2 linked regions of the Sus scrofa genome follow. The protein of the gene in region 1 purifies or fractionates together with the protein of each later gene. This does not show direct contact. Links are inferred from orthologs where the notes say so. Each region holds a gene or a part of one and is shown on either strand. Other genes may lie near its edges.

The links.
Region 2: the proteins of TRIM24 (region 1) and SSRP1 purify together in Homo sapiens (affinity purification with mass spectrometry; 3 studies listed by BioGRID and IntAct, with this or other methods). This does not show direct contact. The link is inferred for Sus scrofa from reciprocal best matches to the Homo sapiens genes TRIM24 and SSRP1.

What each region holds. Positions count from the first base shown.
Region 1 is NC_010460.4:11,051,549-11,061,535, forward strand, and holds the end of TRIM24 (transcription intermediary factor 1-alpha), read right to left. Parts: intron 9,318-9,987; coding exon 9,243-9,317; intron 6,884-9,242; coding exon 6,734-6,883; intron 5,923-6,733; coding exon 5,713-5,922; 3' UTR 3,663-5,712; downstream 1-3,662. UniProt on the Homo sapiens protein: Transcriptional coactivator that interacts with numerous nuclear receptors and coactivators and modulates the transcription of target genes.
Region 2 is NC_010444.4:13,614,841-13,625,847, reverse strand, and holds the start of SSRP1 (FACT complex subunit SSRP1), read right to left. Parts: upstream 6,128-11,007; 5' UTR 5,967-6,127; intron 5,470-5,966; 5' UTR 5,385-5,469; coding exon 5,331-5,384; intron 4,896-5,330; coding exon 4,710-4,895; intron 4,058-4,709; coding exon 3,952-4,057; intron 3,660-3,951; coding exon 3,469-3,659; intron 3,365-3,468; coding exon 3,134-3,364; intron 2,998-3,133; coding exon 2,894-2,997; intron 2,819-2,893; coding exon 2,690-2,818; intron 2,494-2,689; coding exon 2,272-2,493; intron 1,550-2,271; coding exon 1,477-1,549; intron 1,366-1,476; coding exon 1,357-1,365; intron 1,069-1,356; coding exon 930-1,068; intron 792-929; coding exon 746-791; intron 1-745. Other genes in the region: P2RX3 (P2X purinoceptor 3), read left to right, coding at 8,262-8,380. UniProt on the Homo sapiens protein: Component of the FACT complex, a general chromatin factor that acts to reorganize nucleosomes. The FACT complex is involved in multiple processes that require DNA as a template such as mRNA elongation, DNA replication and DNA repair.

The sequences.
Region 1 (9,987 bases):
ACCCTGGCGTCTTTAATCATTTCATTAGTTTTCAGACCTTGGTGGACTTTTTAGAAATTTTAGGTCAAAACATTTTTGATGCAAAGATGTCTTGGCTGCGTGTATACGGTCAGGCAAACAACCTGTGACATATCATAAATGAAAACTCCAAAGATCATATTAGTAGCAATTTATAATGAAAATGAAAAGATAGCAGTATTGAGAACCACGGTCGACCACTGACACAACTCAAGCTTCAGTAATTTCCCAAGGATTTCAGGAACTTTCAATACTTGTGGGAAGTCACCTGAATTAAGATATTTTAAAATGTTGCCTAGCACTGCCTAGGACCCAAGCTTCCTAGAAAAACACTCATTTGGTCTACAGCAACTTTATCAACATAATTTTAACTGAAATACTGAAAGAAATGTCCAAAATCCCTTATAAACTCTGGTACATTGCTTACCTTAGCAGCACAGGCACTAGCAGAAACGGAAGTCAACCAATTTCGGGTTTACCTTTCAGAACTCATAAAAGACAACACTGTGATGAAGTAACACAAGCGGAATCTTTCTACAGGCATGTTGTGCTTTATGCAATAAGACGGAGGTTGACTTTGTCTGAATCTAATAGTTTTTTGGGTTTGGGTTTTTTTTTTTCCTTTTAGGGATGCCGGTGTGGCATACAGAAGTTCCCAGGGTAGGAGTCGAATTGGAGCTGCAGCCAGCTGCAGGGCCACAGCCACAGCAATTCAGGACCTGAGCCCCATCTGTGACCTACACCACAGCTCACAGCAACGCTGGACCCCTGTCCCACTGAGCGAGGCCAGGGACTGAACTCGTGTCCTTACGGATGCTAGTTGGGTTCGTTATTGCTGATCCACAACCGAACTCCTCTAACAGTTCCTCTAATAGAAGAGAATTTGATTGATTCCTGTCTCTTCAAAGCAGTCTAGAGTGGCCAAAAAAAAAAAAAAAAAAAAAAAAGAAAAAAAAAATCCTTCTGTAATGTAAATGCCAAAACCTTTTATCTTGGACTTTTTGGATCCTGGGCTTTCTTAAGATACACCTTCATTAGTAAATGCCTTATGCAATCAGATTAAAGAAACAGAATCATAAGCAAAGCATGCTAACTGGTGACTTACTGAGCTTGTTGCCACTCCTCTTCTTTCCAAGGAGCAAGACCGATTTCCTTTGGGACCACACACCACTTCTCAGGTCAGTACATTCCCGACATGCTCAACTCTGGGTGATCCTTATATTCTATCCCCTCCCCTCAACGACAACCAGGTTTCAGCCATTGGTTCTGGACTGAATTTTCTGGCTCACCTGACTTGGTTTAAAAAGTAGCAGAGAACATGGGTAAAGAATTCACCTTCACGGAGTTCCTGTCATGGCTCAGCAGAAATGAATCTGACTAGCATCTGTGAGAACACAGGTTCGATCCCTGGCCTTGCTCAGTGGGTTAGGGATCTGGTGTTACCATGAGCTGTGGTGCATCTCAGACGAGGCTTGGATCCAGCACTGCTGTGGCTGTAGTGCAGGGCAGCAGCTACAGCTCTGATTTGACCCCTAGCCTAGGAACCTCCATATGCCTCAGGTGCAGCCCTAAAAAGACCAAAACAAACAAACAAGAAGAATTCACAAGTATATTCCTGCATGGTTAGATGCTATTAAAATAGACTTTCTTCCATACCACATTTGAAAATGTAGGAAAGAAATTATTTTGCTAAATGTTTAGCTTGTCATGTCCAAGAAAGCATGTTTTTTAAAGGACTCGATTATGACTTTGTTATTCCGTTTAAAAACTCATTTAAAAATCAAATAGAAGGCTATTCCCACCCCCATCAATTTAAGACCTATTTGATATACAAAAGTTTTAAAAATTGTTCTAACATCTGAGAATCACAACTTTCCAAACTTTATAGGTGAAATTAACACAGGTAAACTTTTAAAGTGGCTTGTAAACTCCCTGCTGTGTTCCCCCCACCCCCTTCTTCCAACAGGCTTCAGACAAGTAGAATTTTTCATGGCCTCTTTGGTTCTCCTACTGCCAGGGTGTTGGGTTCGTTCAGGGGAGCAGGAAACAGTGACTTACCTCCTGGTGAAAACACATGCGTTAGGGCTTTTTTTCCTCTTAAAAGCTTTCCTATTTATGGACTAGTAGCTCTTCCCTATATGTATCAGTTTTACAGAGGAGCATACAAAGGTAGTCATGGAAACTCAAACTCGTTAATAGTCTACTGCATGACATACAGTCATTTCTCAGTTAACAATTCCTCTTTGTGGTAAAATATTCACAGTTTATATCCACCATAGATGATACTGATTAAATCAAAGCACCAGTTGACTCCCCCAAATTAAAAATAACCACAAAGACCTCTGCCTCAGATGTCCTTCACAATCAGCAAAACCTTCATGGGGGAGAGACCTGTGGTCTGACTGACTGGCACTATTCTGACTCAAGAACATGAGCCACCAACACGAGAATTATGACTCGGTAAGTTCACGCCCAAGATGAAGGGGCAATACATATAAAAGACATGACCTATTAACTTACATGAGGTTCTAAAATGCTTAAAAAAAAAAAAAAAAATATATATATATATATATATATATATATGCATGGTTATTTAAAAGGAGGGCCTCTATTTCCTAAGAAGTTAGATTGTTGAACTCACAGTTATGTCCGTAATTTAAAGGTCAATGAGATCACACAATTTCTTTCATTCATAACAGATACAGAGAAGCAGAAAGTAAATACAGCTTCAGTTTAAACCTAAAAACCTTTTGCTCCTATGCAGCAATCTACTTTTGGGATTCAGGTTCATTGGTAGATCAGGCCTCAACAATAGTTCCCCTCCTTTCATTGCCTAACTAGTCTCTCCATGGAACCCAAATTTAAAAGTTTAAAACACTGCAGCAGCACAGAAATTTGAAATGCAAATCCACAAATGGAGAAATTGGCTATACACTCACCCTTTGGACTGTGGAGTGAATCCTAAGCAGAGTGAAAGCACTGCTAAGTTATGTTACATCAATAGTACTGTGTAGGAGTAAAATGTGAGGTCTATTCTTGGCAAAGTCTAAACTTGGAAAAGAAAGTAAAATTACCAAAGGAAGAGCACATTTTCCCTTTGGCACCTTCCAATGTGCTACACTTCCATTCAGAAAAGATAAGCAGGGCCTGTTCAAGGACAAAATACATTAGCACTGTCAGATGCTAACGTACAATAGTGTTTCAAATAGGGTACACACTATCTAATTAAGCCTAGGCCACAGTCATGTTAAGTCGCTGTGTACTGGGTTTTTTCATTGCTAGAAAGATCAAATGCATGGCACCTGAGAAAGCTTTCCATGAGTTGAACTGAGTGAATTCTAGCTGCCACATAGCCAGCTCATCCTGTGACGACATTCAGTATTGGGGGTCCTGCAGCTATGACACAAGGCTATTGGTTTTTAAATACTGAGGGAGATCTCCTGGAGTTCTTTAAGGTCAAGGTTGCCTGAATTGCACTGACTTTCCCGGAGAATGCTCTCCAAATGGGCGTGTGGTATAGTCAGACTCATAGCTTACCTCTTATTTTAAGGATGACTGTGCTGGGATCCACCTGGGCACACAGGTGCTTGTTACAATAAGGTCATAGGACTTCAGTTTTAAAGACCATTAAAAAACTGCTATTTGGAGAGAGAAACATTTTAATATGTATAATGTTTGATTACAGGAAAGATGGGTTTCAACTGCCTTTCATTCAGCAAAAATATGAGAAAGGTGAAAGAGAATACTGCTCTGAAAGATTAATACGGCACTGAAAATAACAGTGTAAGTTCTGGGTACATTAGTAGAAATTCTGGCTCAAATGCATTTAGGAAATTACACATTTTTCTCTGTTAAGTGCTACTTCCCTTTGTGATCATCCTCAAAATCGATCCGTGTTGCCTGCTTTAACTCAGGAGACAAGTACGGAAGAAAAAAAATGTCAGAGGAACAATACAGTCTAAGATAACAACAATAAACTTACTAGCAGAATTACCATAGCTGCTGTGCTAAAAATGGTGGAGCAAAAAAAGATAAGCGGTAAATTTTGTTAACTTCTTTGGAGAATGTCAAATGCATATTCAAAACAATAAAACCACAACAACTACCCTGAAAAACCGATTTTGAAAATTAAGACGTTTTAAGCATTTAATACATGATTGATATATTGTGGACTAAACCTAAGTTTACTGCCAAGAAGTTATTTTCTCATTTTATCTCTAGCAGTATCTGAAAACCCAGTGACTTAGCCACAGAATACTTTCAAATGTCTATTTTAGGAAATGATGCTATGTGGGTAAAAGCAAGTCCTCTAGGTTGAATTCGTGAGAGATGACATGATCCAAAGGGTAAAAATTCTTCGAAGTCAGCTCTATTTTAATTCTATCAGCCGAAAGAGAAAAATTTCCTCCTTTACTGTTTCATAAATAGAGGTTTACTTTGGCAAACAAAGAAGTCCACATGTAAATGTTACTGTCACATGTTAGATTAGCACGTGGCACAAAATTTTCTTCTATCTTAATCTCATCTCCTTCTTTGACATTAACAAGTAAAGGGAATGAATGAATGTTAAAGTAGCTCTGACCCATTAAGAATATACTTGCCCTCAGAAGACAGGTCTTTTGTATCTCTATTAAGAGAACGAAAATGAAACCCAGAATTAAGTTAGATCAAAGACTCAATTTGACAGTTTGACTCTGAAAAATAGGAAATAAATGCTTCTGAAAAAAATTTTTCAGTCTAATTCCTTCCGATTGCCTGGCCCCAAATTCTACAACACACTTTCATCCGGAATTATGAAGACAGATGAAAACCACAAAAACTATTCCCTTTCAGGGGAATTTATATTTAATGCCCAATAGGGTTTAAGTTGAGGAATCCTGACATCGCATATGGCATACACTGCTGTATTTCAAATTCTGAGAAGTTCCACTAAAAGCCATACTGCAAACAATTGAGTCTTATTATAAAAGGGTCACCTGCACAGTTAAAAGGCAAACAACAAACCACACAGACACAGAGCAAAACCAAACAAGTACACTTACTTCCACAGCAGAAGGTAAGACTTAGAAACGTATGAAAAATGGCCTTGAAAACCTGCTATACCAAACACCTCTAGAGACAAGAAAAAAACAAAAACAAAAATCAAACATTCGTTTTCCTGCTTTTTTTTTAATACAGTTGCCATCTTACATGATATACTATCAGGTGCTTCGTAGTAGCATCTAATCTACTTTTTCGTTGCACCAGTGGGCATTCTAGGATAGAACTCTTTCTTACCACTCACATTCATGGAGTACTGCTCTCAAGTACAGTACACCTAACTCATGGGTTGGTCCATAATTAATGGGTAGTGGTATTTTCTAAAAATGGGTTAATGCACACATCCAAGCCATTAAACTTTCAATTTAGAGTTCATACAACATCTATTTCCTTTCTAGAATAGCTATCGCTCCAGACTGCAGTTTGAAATCCAATACGTGGGGAAAATGTCTTTTGTTGCTGATGCTTCTTTCTTTCTTCCTTTTCCTTCCTTCCTCTTCTTTGTTCTTTCTTGTAAGGTTAAAAGAAATGGGTTATTAAGAAAATCAAGTCTAGCAAACATCAAAAACTTAAAGAGTGGTCACAAACTCTTCTTGGTAATGATGTTAAATTACTGACAAAAATCTAAAAACCAGCATGGGCCAGTGGTGCTGCTTATTTAAGCAACTGGCGTTCTTCTATGCTTTTGAGGCGTTTCTTCCGGGGCTGTACAAAGTCATCATCTGAGTCGTCACTAAATTTATTATCTTCTGATTCATTCCTGAATTCTAGTTTGGGAAACTTTTTTTCCGGGTAAAGGTTCTTCAGAAGTTCTTCAAAATAGCTTTCAAGTTTTATACCGGCATTGGCTACTTCTGAATCAGGCTGTTGAATAAAAGCAAAAATATTATTTAGAAAAATCTGTAGATAATCAATAAAAGTAGTAGATTTCTCCCATTTTTGTTCCCTTTTAACTCAAGACTACAAATGCCAGTGGAGTGTTTTGGGGAAAATGTGTATGTACAGTATTGCTATAAAGTAAATGACAGTCAGGAGCTAGACAAAGTCTAGAGAAGATCAGATAAAAAGTAAATAAAAGGCCTTGACTCATCTGGATTATTCTACGAGGGGTGGTAGTCGGAGATTACCAAAGAGAGATCAAAGAGACACCATCATCACAGAATCAAGTAACAGGTATTTTTAAGAACAGATCAAATGAAATGTGGAACTCTGGAATGAGAGACTAACACAGAACCAACCCCCTCACCCCCCCCCCCAAAATCAGCAAAAGGCTGTAAGTCTGACTGATAAACTGACTGATGACAAAGTTTTGGGGAAAATTCTTAAGAACTTATTCCACATTTCAATATCAACATCACAAAGACTAAAGTTTGAAAGTGCCATATTTCAAGAAATAAAGGTGATAATGAGAATGACAAAGAATACTTTTGGTTTAGAACCAATATTTTCTAAGCTGGTTTCAAGCTGTCAGCTGTAATTCGCATTTCCCTTCACCACATAATAAACCTTCGAATATACATGCGGATAAAATCTTCCTAATTGCCTCTTTCACTCCCTGACAGACTTGAACTTTGGAAATAATACGCTACCAATGATAGTATCTTGATCTTGGTTGCTGATAAGCTATTTGGTTTAGTGTTACTCTCACATTGCTATTATTATTCTTCCTTCTCACCTCATTGAATTCGGCACAGTTTTGAAAGATCAATCTAAAATCAGCTACAAAATCTTCAGGCTTTGTATACATGGAATAATCTTCCTGTAGTCTTTTCTTGATGGTTGACAAGTCCATTGGGTTTTTAATTATTTTATAATAATCAGGCACCTTTCAAAAGAAATGAGATGCTGTAATAAATAACTAAATTCTACCTGGTCCTAAATAAATTCTATAAGAAGTAGCATAAAATTCTTATTTTTCTCACTGCTTTTCTCTGTTCTATTTTGTCATTGACAAGGCAATCTATTCAACAAAATTTACAAATGCCTACAGGCTTCCACACACTGATAAATGTTTTGTGTCGCTTTCATCAAAAATTCTCCCCAGGAGTTCCCATGGTGCCTCAGCGGTAATGAACCCAACTAGTATCCACAAGGATGCAGCCTCACTCAGTGAGATAAGGATTTGGTGGTGGTGTGATTGTCGCTGGCAGCTACAGCTCTGACCCCCGGCCTGGGAACTTACCTATGTCATGGGTGTGGCTGTAAAAAGACCAAAAAGAAAAAAGAAAAGAAAACAAAACAAAACAAAAAACCAAAACAACAACCCCGAAAACCCCACCCAAATTTTTTATTAGTTATTCCTTTTTATTTATTTATTTTTTTTGTCTTTTTGCCATTTCTTGGGCCGCTCCTGTGGCATATGGAAATTCCCAGGCGAGGGGTCTAATTGGAGCTGTAGCCGCCAGCCTAAGCCAGAGCCACAGCAATGAAGGATCCGAGCTGCGTCTGCGACCTACACCACAGCTCACAGCAACGCCGAATCGTTAACCCACTGAGCAAGGGCAGGGACCGAACCCGCACCTCATGGTTCCTAGTCGGATTCGTTATCCACTGCGCCACGACGGGAACTCCTATGAGTTATTTCTAATGAAAAAAACTTACCGCATTTCCCTCTTATTATTCTTCATCATTATTAAACAAAAAGCAATCACTAGAAAAAGCATTACTTCTAGTAAGATTTGACATGTTCTTGTTCCAAGTGTTCAGCAAGTGAGCTTTCTGAACCCCAGCTCTGCTACTCAATAGGGTACGACTTAATGAGTTACTTCATGTCACTGAAACTGTTCCTTCATATTTCAAATAGGACTAATTCCACCAGTCCCACAGGATGATGTATAGACTGAGATGATATATATTAAGAAAAAAGGGGGCTACTTTGCTGTTGCTGTTATTAATACCAAATGTTAACTGTAAGCTAACACCATAAAGAGCGCCAAACCTTAGGTTAAATTTTTAAGTGAATAAAGTTTTACTGACCTACTTTTGCCCTGCCTGTTTTGAGTACAACAGGCCCTTCCCCCTAAAAACGACTTACAGTGGAGCCTCGAACTCTGCAGGCACATGTATGCATTGATTTTTTTTCACTAAACTCACACTATAGCACTACCTGATCCATGGTGGGCTGATTCTGCAAACGGAAAGGCCCGGATGCAAGGTTACATGCCGCTTTCTAATCATGCAGAGCTGGTGCCCCAACCTCCTCACTGTTCTAATTAAGAGTTAACTGTATTGATTTTTCCTATCTCAAGTTCTCAAAACTTGTTTTCAAGAAATTTTAATTTTGCATAAAATTTTTAAAATTTATTGAACTGTACATCTATTAATTTTTAAAAGGAATTTCAGACATCAGAGAATAGAACAACACATTTTGAGTAGCAGGCCCTTACTAGCACCATTATAATGAGACTATGCATTAAAGTCACATCAAACTTCAACTACGAAGCCTTTTGAAGTCAATGGTAAACACATACACACACACACACACAAATACACCTCTCTTCTTCTACTGTTAAAAGTCTAGGAGTTCCCATCGTGGCACAGTGGTTAACGAATCCGACTAGGAACCATGAGGTTGCGGGTTCGATCCCTGGCCTTGCTCAGTGGGTTAACGATCCGGCGTTGCCGTGAGCTGTGATGCAGGCTGCAGATGCGGCTCGGATCCCGAATTGCTGTGGCTCTGGCATAGGCTGGCGGCTACAGCTCCGATTAGACCCCTAGCCTGGGAACCTCCATATGCCGCGGGAGCGGCCCAAGAAAAGGCAAAAAGACCAAAAAAAAAAAAAAAAAAAAAGTCTATTTATTGCTTGAAGTTTGGACCTATAAACTCAAATGTGTACAGAGAACTTTGAGGCAGGGGATCTTTATCTGAAATACAAAGTTTTTTTTCCCAACAGCTTAGGACATGTATGTAAAACTCCTGAGACAGAAACGATAGAAAGCATCCCAGAGAATAGCAGGTAAAATACATGAGATGAAAAGAAAGATTATATGAGAAACGAAGTTTTGAGCCACTTTGTTAACATTAAAATGTATTTAAGATCAAAGCATTCAGTATCTATTAATAAGCTTTACAGTTTGGATTAATGTAAGAAACTTACTACTGAAACAGAAACTAGATTTTCAAATCAAATTTCAGAAAAATCACCCCACTGTGCAAAAATGCACAAAATGACATTAATACTTACAGTTAGAGGAACTGGGTCTTGAAAAGCCAGGCTCATTTCATGGCAGTAAAGAAACAGAAGTAGACGTTCACACTTCTAAGCAACAAAAAGAAAGAAAGAAAATGAAAATACAATGAGATAATGAAGTCACAACTAAATTTTTGTTGTTACAGGTCAAAATACCTGAATAAAAATTAAAACTAGATGAATGTAAGAAAAATACTGATACTTGGAGCTGTGGTGTCGTCTCCTTTTTTATGGAGGCCTTATACCTATTTTCCTTTGGTTAGTGAATTTTCATAACATCCTACTTCATTATGTGATTTTAGTGGAATTAAACTTGTTATTTGAATTATTATCAATTTCACTTTTTTTGTCTTTCTGTTTATTTATTATTTTTTTGCTTTTTAGGGCTGTGCCTGCAGCATATGGAAATTCCTGAGCTAGGGGACGAATCGAGCTGCAATGACTGGCCTACACCACAGCCCATGGCAGCAGCAGATCCTGAAGCCACTGAGAGAGGCCACGGATCGAACCCACATCCTTATGGATACTAAGTTGGGTTCATGACCCACTGCCACAATGAAAACTCCCTTTGATGTCTTTTCCAATCATTCCTTGCAGTGTACTGTTTAATATTCTGGGGTGTATGTGAAAACATGAGAGCAGTCCCTATAATTATAGAACAAAAGCAGTTATCACTAGAAACCTTTAAGTTCCTTAAAAATAAATTTCCACGTATCTCTCCAATTTGTGTATTGAATTA
Region 2 (11,007 bases), on another chromosome or scaffold:
CACCTTGCCCCCATTCAGGAGGAGCTCACTCCAACCACAGGCTCCAAGGGCAGGTATGTGGCTTAGCTCTAGCCCATCGGAGCTCACCCCAGTAACTCAGACTCAAGAGGGGACGGTAGCCACACTGCTCACCCCACTCTCAGAGAAATGGCGCTTCTGGGGGTTAAACCAGTAGAATTAAACCTGCCCAAAGCTTCTCAGGGTCATTTAGTGCTATAAGGAGCAAACTTATCTAAGATAAGGAAATCAGAAGAATTAAAAAACAGATTCCCCACAACTTTTGAATACTTGGATCCAGGTGCCTGAAGCCAGTTCTAGCATCAGACTCCCAGTTACATGAGCTTATAGAATTCCTCTTATGCTCAAGTCAGTTTGAGTCCATTTCTGACATGGGCAATCAAGAGTCTCGACGGATACCACACAAGGGGAACACTGGCACTTCACAGGTGAGGCCACCAAGATGCTACGCCTGACCCAAAGGCCCCCCCAGCGGGGAAGCAGGCCAGCACTGGCCCTTATTCCCATTCTCTCTCCACACTCATCTTCCGGCTTCACAATGTCCCTTGTACCTACAAAGCATCCCGACAACTTTCAAAACGTTTCCGTTTATCATCACCTCACTGGAAGTCACTTTTCCACCCTCGGTCAGCTGCTAATGCTGAGACGTGGGAATGTCCAAAAATCTTCTGGTCCCTTAAGCTTAGAGGCCACCACCTCACCCCCACGAGGTGGACCCAAAACTCACTCCTCTGCCACGTCTTCCTCCTCTTCACCTGGGTTGAATGACTCATCTGAAAAAGAGCACAGGACACATCAGCTCGGCCCCCCAGGGAAATCCAGAGGCCCAGCTCCAGCCCCAGGGTGAGCCCAGCCCTGGCCCCAGGGAGAGCCAACCGCCCCAGTGCCGGGCACTGCCCAGGCGAACTCACCGGTTTCTTCTCCTGAGTCATCGCTGCTGTCATTGGCATTCTCCTCCCGGATCTTGCCCTCCTCCTTCATCCGCTCCAGGTAAGCATCATGCTGGTCTTCATCAGAGTCGGCATATTCATCGTAGCTGGGGTTCATGCCCTGGCCAGGGAAGAGGCGCGAGTGAGGGCCGGCCCACCCTGGTGCCTGCACACTCAAAAGCACTCCCCATGCCTGTGAGTAGATCAGAGCAGCAGTGCCCAGAAGACCCTGGGGCCAGATTGTCCACACACAGCCGATGTGTAGGGCCTTGGCCCAGGACTTCCTGCCAAGGCGGTTAGTCCAAGCCCCTCCCTCTCCCAGCCCCACTGGGGGCTCCTAAGGGGTTGCAGAAACTGCTCTAAGGTCATGCTGAGGAAACCTGCACCGGGAGGGGAAGGGTCACACCACCTCTTTTTTCTATAAGGGTAAGAAGAGAAGAGAAAGTGAAAAGGAGGCCGGAGAAAGCCCTGCCCCTTCCCCACAGAAAGAACAGGAGGGGGGCTCACCCTTCTCCACCCACAGAGGTACCTCTTTCAGTCCTCGGTTTTTGATGTTGAGTTTTTTGGCATTGACAAAATCGAACAGCTTCCCGTACTCCTCCCTGTGAGGGGAGATGCACTGTGTGACCAGACAGGACGGGTCAATGCAGGGGTGAACCTGGTGCTGTCCTGACACTCAGCCAGGGGAGCCGGGAGCTCTTGACCACACGGTCCAACCAAGAGCTCAGAGACCCCCAGACGATGGCGTTGAGAAAGAGTCAGACGCCAGTCTCCAAGGCAACCTACATGGTCTCAAGAGTTTGGGAAAAGAAAAGGCGGTGGGGGGGGGAACCTATTTACCGAAATGCACAGGGCAGGGGGAGGATGTCAGTGGGAGAGGGGGGTTCCATCATCTTTTTACTGGTCTGGATTTCATACTTCTCAGGGTGGTTATGAGGATTAAGTGTGAGGTTGTTTGTAAAACGTTTAGCCCACAGCGAGCACTCAATAGGCATTAGCTGCCGTGTTCTCGGGCACGAAGCTCATTCCAGGAAAGAGGGAGATAGTATTTCCATCGTGGGGTGAGGGGAGGAGGGGAAGGGCTAGCACTAAACACACAGAGCTTTCGTAATACGGAGAACCATTCTCTTTTAAGTACAGGAAGAAAAGCAACAGAGAGACTGCCAAAGGCTGAGCACTCCAAGGAGGAGGACCAAATTCCAGAAAGCAGAAGAAAAATTCCGCCCGAGGCCTGAAAAGTCAGTGGGGAGCCCCAGGCCAGACTTCTCGGTCGAGGCCAGGTCAGGACCAGGATGCTCGGGAAGTGACTGGCAGAGGAGCTCACCTCTCAATGCTACTGAAGGTATACTGAGTGCCCTGCTTGGTCTCAATCTCAAAGTCAAATGAACGGGTGGTGGTGGTACCACGGGCGAAGTTGACAAAGGAGATCTCGTCGAAGCGGATGTGCACTGGTGGCTTGTGGACGTAGATGAAGCCCCGCTCCAGTGGGTACAGCAGTCCGGAGCTGGCCTTGTAGGAGCAGGTGATGCACTGGGCCCCCGAATGCCTGGTGGAAGGTAAAGGGCCTCCAGTCAGCGCCCACCTCAGCAGCAGGGGGCATAGGGCCAGAGGGCACACCCCTTGGCAGCCACACCCCAACCAGGCCAGTAAGGGGCTGCATGCCCAACCCGGGAGGCGTTTACTGTGGAGACATGGCACAGCCCATCCCCGGGCCGGCCGGCAGCCCAGGCCTGCACCCTCACCCTTGGAAGTTGCCTGGGACTGTGATCTTGCGGTTCACCAGTGCCTTCATGACCCGGCTGACCATCTCGTAGAGGGATCCTGACATGTTCTTGGTGAGCCGCCCCTCAAAGCGCTTCTCCACCTCTTCCCTGCAAACAAGACGCGTGGTCACAAGCACTGCTGCCTTCGGATGGCACAGCTGCCCAGACCAGGGACACACTCACTCGTTCATGTTGAGAGTCAAGGAGATGTCCTCGTCCTTGGAGAAGAGGAGGATCAGGAAGTGGTAGCGGGTCTGGCCCTGCTTGATGGGGGGATCCAGGCTGATCTGGGAAGGAAGAGCCGACCAAGTTCAGCAGCAGTCAGTGCTCCACAGGGCCGTGCGGCTAACTGAATGTGGGGGAGATCTGTCTACTAAAGACGGGGGCAAAACCCAGCACAATGCACCCCCAGTGGTTTCTTACCACAAAGAACATCTGGCGCTGGTCCTTGTGGGGCAGCAAAAAGAGACGCAGCACTGTGGTGTAGGGGATCTTGTAATCGAAAGTCTTGCCGTGTAGGTGCAGAAAAGTGGGGTAGATGCGAATGTCGTAACGGCCTCGGGGAGTCAGACACTGCAGCTCCCGGAAGATGCAGATGGCATCTCCGGTGGCCTGGATCACATCCGCCTTCGACAGCACATTCTGGGCAAAGGCCTATAAGAGCACACCCTGGCAATCGAGCAGCAGAGATCCTGCTCCTGGGCCACCCAGGGCCTGCTCAGCACCATCTGCTCCCAAGAGACCAGGGGAGGCCTCACCTCAACGGGGTCCACGCCATCCTCCTGGGTGGGGGGCACGTAGAAGCGCACCTCCATGAGAGAGACCTCTGCATCGTCATTCTGGTGGAATTCCAGTGTCACCTCATTCTTGCCTGTGGTACACTGGGACACGTTGCTGAGAGGGATCTCGAAGACCGGCTGGTCACCAATGTCAAAGGAAAGCAGCTGCCCTGTAGGAAAGGGCACACTGAGCCACAAGCTCCTTCCCTCGGCTCCGCATAAACAATGTTCCTTCCTACCAGCCTAGAGGCTCCCAAAGGACAGGGCACTGAGACCATTTTGTTCGCACTGTGCCCCAGGGACCGGGCACAGTGCCTCATACAGTGTTGGTCCTCGATAAATACGTGATGAATTACAAACTGGTAGGAAATCAGAAACAGCGGAGGAGAGCAAAACAAGTTAAAGGCTGAAACCCTTCAGCCTACCTCCTCCCCGCAAACCTCAATCTTCCCCAGGACTCACCCCCAAACTTCACTGTTCCCCAGTTCCAACCCTTCACACAGAGGTCCTTTTCCATCAGCTCAAGGCGATAGTGAGTTTTGAAGAAATCAGAGAGTTTCTCGAACTCCTGTGGGAAGAGGGGAAAGAACAAGCCCAGTGAAACCCCAGTAGCCTTAACACAGAACTTGAGGGTCCTGAGATTATCTGCTTCTGAGAAACGACCCCAATAAACTTTCATCAGAAATCCACGCTGACTTAGAGCTATAATATTGTTAAAACACTGTTGAAAAAGGCTATTTCTGGGGACTGGCTGGACTCGGGCTGGGGGAGGAGTAAAGTAAGGACTGACACTCCTGCTTGCAGGTCTCACAGTGTTTTTCTGACTTTGGACAGGTATTCCTTTAGTGAAAGTGGAAATGAAGTAAAGTCTTTAACACAAGCCGTTCAAAATGGAAAAACAACACCAACCTAAAACCTCAAGGTAAGCCCCTGAACCTGGATAAGGCAACAGGCAGAAACCACCAAAAAAAAAAAAAAAAAAAAAAAAAAAAAAAAAAAATCAAAACAGTAGAAAAGTTTCTGGAGTTAAAGCACAAAGAAACTCCCGAGACTCTGCAGCCCAAAGCTGAACACTGACTGCTTAATGGCTTCCACGGTCCTGCTTTAAGGATCCCAAACTAGCAACTGCACGGTTATCAGAAGGAGCCCCACTTCTCTCAAGAAGATTAAAACTAAAGAAGATGGCACAGTAAAGGGGGCTATGGCAAGGGGCATCTCACCGATTCTCGGAAGCCGTCGTACTTGTAGACGTGGCCATTTTTCGTGAGCAGTTTAAGTCCATGGCCCAGAGCTACTCGGCGCCAGATCCCTTCGGTCAACTCCCCAGCCTGGATGTTGTCCACTTTGCCCGTTTTACTGTTCTTGAAGATGATGCCCTGGCGGCTCAACCTCAGCCGACCATCATTCTGTTGGGAAAACAGGCCCAAATGCACAGGGACGACCATAGCGTAGAGCAGGGACGGTCCCACCCAACACCCATTCTGGGCTGGTCAGGTATCAGGCAGGAGCAATAACAGCTGAAGTGGTGAGGGCTGGCAAGAAGAGACGAGTAAGGCCAGAAGATCTGGATTCTAATCCTCGCTCTGGCATCCAGAACCCGTGCAGGTCCTCAGTTTGGGGATTCAGGATTGAGCAGCAGGTGTAGTCCCTTCAAACTCTGACATCCTGTAACTCTTGTATCCTCACTCAGTAATGCTTCTTGTTGGGGAACTACCAAATACACATCGAACTGACTTCTTTTCCAAAGTAGCAACATCATCAGCACAAGCTCTTGCGAGTGGATAAAAAGTCTACTCCGCCTCCCTCCCTCCATCTGTTTCAAAAGCCCCAGTCCTTCTTACCATAGAGCCTTTCACCTCCTGATACACGTCGTTGAACTCCAGTGTTTCTGCCATGCTGACCTGCCCCTGTAGGCCTCAACTGGGAGCTGGGCCCCAACTCCTGGGTACGTTGTGCAGATACACAACGCAGGCTGGGAATCTGAATTGAAGAGGGATAAGTGGATTGAAGTTAAGTGGAAAAAACAACACCTCATGCTGGCCACGGAGGGAGCCTAGTGGCAACCCTTCCTGTGCCTGGGATGTCTCACGATCTCCCTGCCTGGGAACCCTGCAAGCCGGTTCTGCAGAACTCCAGGGCCAGGCCCGGCCGGGGCTTAAGAAGCCGGCCCGAAGTACCTCTTACATCCCAACCAGACACCCCCTCTGGGCGCTCCACCGGGCGCCATGGCAACGAGCAGCGGAACCCCTGGGCCATCCGGAGCCCGCACCTCGCCCGCGCCCCAACCCCGCTCAAAAAGCACGAGTTCCCTCCCAGCGCTCCCACCGCGCCGCGGCCCCAGGCCCACAGTTCTCCCCTCCCGCTAAAATGGATTCGCCCGCTGCCCGCGGATTCCAACGCGGAACAGTCCATCCCACGCGTCCCGCGGGGGAGCAGGGCCCTCGCCTTCCTGGGGCGCGGCGATAGCGACCACCTACTTTCTCAAGCTGCGGCCTCAGACGGCCCGCAAGCGGGCGGTGGGCTCGCTGGGGGACGCAGCGGGGGTGTAGGGTCCGGGGGGTCCGGGGGGGACGCTGGGGAAGCTTTTCCCGCGTGCGCGGCCCCGCGTCCCGCCACCGGAAGCCCAGCACGGACCATAGAGAGGAGGAGCCGGCTAGAGAGGCGCGAAACGCGGCCCGCCTTCGAGGCGGTCCCATAGAGCGTCCACAGCGCTGGAGGACCTGAGGGAAGCCGGGTTACACTGATGTCCCGCCCGTTTGGCGTCCGACTAGAAAATGGGAGCGTGTCGGGCTCTTTAAAAATCACAGACACTCCTTCCGGGAACGACAAGACTTTAAAGAGAAACTGTGTAGTTGCATTTTATCAGACTTGCCAAAGATGCGTGTGCGTGCGTAGCAATGACGGGCGACTCTCTCCCGCCCCATAGTGGTTTCTGTGGAATAGAAAGGAGTTTGTAGGACAAGAAGGAAAATATTTAACGACTTGTGGAGAGAAATGACCCCTCCCACTGGCTTCGAAGAGAATGCGAGTGTTGGTATCGCTGTGACTATACTGCTCACCCCTGTCACAAGGGATTGGATCCTTTTTGAAGTGAGTTCACTGCACCCCAAAACTTGACATCGATAAATGCAAGGTTTGAGTCTCCTGGAAGAGGCTGGCCAGCGGCGGCGGCGGCGGCGGTATCAGGTTCAAGTGCTGGTGTCACATTCACCGTGGAGCCAGAACTGATTTGAAATCACAGCAGCCTGGGCTTTCATAAGCCAGATCCCCCTTATGGAGTCCTAGGGTGCACCTCGCAAAATCAGAGGAGGCTGGACGAGTAAGAGATGTTTGGATTCGTCTGCTCCAGCTTCCTTTTGAAGATCGGGAAACTGAGGCCCTAAGAGGAGTGGCCTGGGGAACAAAACCCAAAATCTACTTAGCCCGTCTAGTGATTCTCCATTCGGAATGATTGATAATAGATGTCAAGTATACAAAACATTGAGACAGAATATTTAAACTCCAGATTTCTTTGACAGTCTGACCTACAGTTACCCCAGCTTGGGACACAAGATGACGTGAATGCACTGTTGCTCCCTGAACTCACGACTTTAACCTCTGGGTAATGGCTGTTCCCACGCTATCTAGCAACATAAGCCAACTAGATTCAACAGATATGTGTTGAACTCTAACACAGTGATAGGATTTGTGGAAACTAGTAAACAAGATGGAAACAGCCCCAGTTTTCCAGGCATGTGACATCTAATAAATGATTCAAATAAGTAAACTGATGGTAAAACAAAATAGAACAAGAAAATACCCAATGTGGGAGTTCCCTTCGTGGCTCAATGGTTAATGAACCCAACTAGGCTCCACAAGGATGTGGGTTCGATCTCTGACCTCCTTCAGCGGGTTAAGGATCTGGTGTTGCCGTGAGCTGTGGTGTAGGTCGCAGAAGCAGCTCGGATCCCACGTGGCTGTGGCTGTGGCATAGGCCGGCAGCTGTAGCTCTGATTCGACCCCCTAGCATTGGTAACCTCATATGCCATGGGTACGGCCCTAAAAAGCAAAAAAAGAAAAAGAAAAGAAAAAGGAAAAAAACCCAATGTGATAGTGCTCTGCAGGTAGAGCTTCAGTCACTGCCAACATGAGTAAGAAATAGGAACTATGTAACCCCAATCACCCTCACCCAGGAGACCAAGAGAAACATTCAGGAGACCCCTCCCCTTGACCCATGTATTGCCGGCAACTCAGGAAGGGAGGAGACGCCTGCAGAATTGAACGGCTTTAAGGAAGACACTCTGGATTGAAGGGGATACTCAGCTCAGGCAGGCTATTAGGTGGCTGGGGAGTGGTGTGTTGCAAGGGGCTTTAAAGAGAGCATGAAGCAGCTGGTGAGCCGGGATGAAGATGCAGCATAAGAGGATGGAACCGAAACGATAGACAGAGTGCAGATAAAACATGAGTCCTAGAGGGCCCTAGCCAGCTGCATCCCAGGCAATCAGGAGCCTGGGATTGGAGACCCCACCCCTACCATGACATCACAGGGGAGTGGGGTGGAGACGAACAAAAAGGGGGTCCCCCGCCCTGGCCTTGGACTCTTGGCAGCTCAGAGTGTCAAGAGCAGAGAGGAGCTGGGCACTGGGCTTAGGTGCCTGACTTAAAGGAACAGCCTGCCCTTTCCTTGAGCCCCTCTAAGCTGCCCCCTCCAGACCTTGATCTCTGTCTCCCCATCTGATGACCTCTCCCTCCTGAGGCCACCACTGGGTCCCTTCTGAGGGGTCATTCTCAGCATGAACTGCATCTCAGATTTCTTCACCTACGAGACCACCAAGTCTGTGGTTGTGAAAAGCTGGACCATTGGGATCATCAACCGAGCAGTTCAGCTCCTGATCATCTCCTACTTTGTGGGGTGAGTCTGTGAACCTTCAGGTTCCAGGAAAGGAGGGCTTCCTGGGGTCCTGCCCCCCCCCGCCCCGGCCCCTCAGTGTCGCTGGCCAGCTGCCTGAGCATCTCCCCTCTGGGTGCAGGGGGTGGGGGGGGGGAGTGCAGGGAGAGTCTACTTTGTGGGACCACATCCCAGGAATTGGCCTCTGCTGCCACCACTGGGCATCTGGTCCCCAGATGAGTTCCTTTTCCCAGTGAATCCTCCGGAGTCGGACAGTAGGCACACAGCCCTCGGAGAGGAGTCCTTGTTCGCGGACCCCCCTCGGCCAGGAGCAGTCCCAGTGACCACAACCTTCCCCTCTCCCAGCTCCCCCTGACCCCCAACCAGAGAACAGCCAGACCCCCCCTACACACACACATTCCCCTCAATCAACTCTTTGGGGGTCTCAGAAAGGCGAGAGAGCCGGGAAGAGGGAAGGGAGGATGCTGAAACAATGGAGATGTGCCCGTTGATGAGGCGGATGGCAGAGTGGGAGGGAGAGGATGGACCCGCTCTCGAATCAGGGACTCCCCTCGGGCGGGGCGGGGGGGTGGACAGTGCGAAGAGGATGTGGAAGGGGAGAGGAGGCCCTTGCTCTTGGAGAGTAGGACAAAGCAGGGGTGGGGTGGGGGAATCTGCCCCAGGGGTGGGGGCGGGGGAGAAACCCAGATACAAATACCAGTTAGGGGAAGAGTTATTGGGAAGAACAGTGGCTTTTCCAAACATCATGTAGAGATCCTCCTTAAGAATCCAGAAACGCTCCCCTTTATCAGAAAGCACACAGTTCCGAGTCTACCTGACTCTGTACCCTCTAACCCGTCCTGGGAGTTACTTAAGAGCCGATAAGGGCTGCGCACCTCTTCTTGGCCCCCACCTCTTGGAGGCACCCCCCTACCTGCGCGCGCGCGCACACACACACACACACACACACAAACACAAACGCAAAAGTCCGTGAGCGGACAGTGGCCCAAGGGGCAGGGGAAACAGGTTCTGTCCTTCCTGTGGTCATTCACACCAGGAAAGACAGGCAGAATCCTGGGGGCTTTTCCTTCCTGCCCTGGGGGTCTCTAGCCTCATGCTGTTCCTTGGCCAGTGGGTCTGCGACAGAAAGGCACTGCGGACTGTCACGAGTTAACACAAGGAAAGCAAAGGAGATGTGGGGGTAGGGGCTGGCGTGTGAGGGGCCCCACTGGCCTGCGAGGTCGGAGTAGCGTGTGAAGGTGTGTGCGGAAAGGTGAGCAGGTGCGGATCAAGGGATTTTGGTTTTGCTCCATGTGCTTGGTGAGAAGCACTGGGCTTCGTTTATGCAGATGTTGTAGGCCAGGCGGTCCATCTGGAGCTCCTTGCAGGAATGTTGAAGGGATTCAAGCTTTGGGGTAGGATTAAACGGCCTGTAAGTTCCCTTCCAACTTGGAGGTTTCCTGAGATCTGGTGTTGGGACGTGTTCCCCCATCTGCAGCCCCAGGGCTCAGCTGGGAGTTGGTTCTTAGAGACTCCATGTTCGTGTGCGTATGTGACGCTATTGTCTACAACCGCAAAATGGTATGTGGGTCCAGGTGAGTGTCAAAGCTGCCTCAGCACATTCCGGGCTGGCCAGCCTGGCCTTGTTGGCTCCAAGCTGGAGATTGATGGAGGGTAGACACGGCAGGCTCCAGGCCCCATCGGCTCGCCCCCACCCACACACTGCCCTCTCATCTTGATCCATCTGAGGCTCTATCCTCCGTGCTGGAGCCCCGCCTGCTGGGGCGGGCGTGAGAGGCTCTTTGGCGTCTTGGTACCCAAGCCCATCCATCTCCCAGCCTGACAGCTCCCCACGGAGCAGCGCCTGCCATCAGTGCGCTCTTCGGCCCAGCCTCCCCACCCCCCGGGCCCCATCTTTGTGCACGTGAGCCCAAGCACCGTTAGGATTTACAAATCCATTGTCCTGAATGAAGCAAAAATGTATGGAGCATCTTTTCACGGGAGGCGTTCTGCGTGGAGCAGAAAGCAGTGGGCAAAAACAGGAAGGGTCCTCACCCTTCTGGAGCTTCTGGTGCCAGAGATGGGCATTAATCAAATCAACCCCGCAAACAAATGTCAAATTCCAGCTGTGGCTCAGGGTTGAAGAAGAGACGGACGGTGCTGAGAGGGCGGCTAGGATAGAGGTCCTTGACCTGGTCAGGGAAGGCCAGGCTTTCTGGAGATGTGACATTTAAGCTGAGAGCTGAAGGATGAGGGGAAGCAACCCAGGTGAGAGAGAGGAAGGAAGGGGGTCCAAGGCAGAGAAGCCCAGCTCTGCCAAGGGAAGGAGCCTGGCAGGCGGGGAAGAAAAGGTTTTTGGCTGGAGCAGAGGGACCACAGGCTGTGGGGGGTGTGAAATGGGGGTGGGGTCACAGACGGAGGCCAGACCTGGAGACCTTCAGATCTCTCGTTTTTACAGAAGCGGAATGGATATGGATGAGAAACTACTGATGTGTTTGGACCTATGTGGGGTGGGGGAGATGGGAAGACCACCCTGGCTGAGACACCAAGGGGTTGGAGCGGGTAGAAGCAGATGCAGCAAAACCTGTGACGAGAGGATGCAGTCATGTGAAGAGAGATGACCATGGCTTAGACTCGAGAGAATCTGAAAG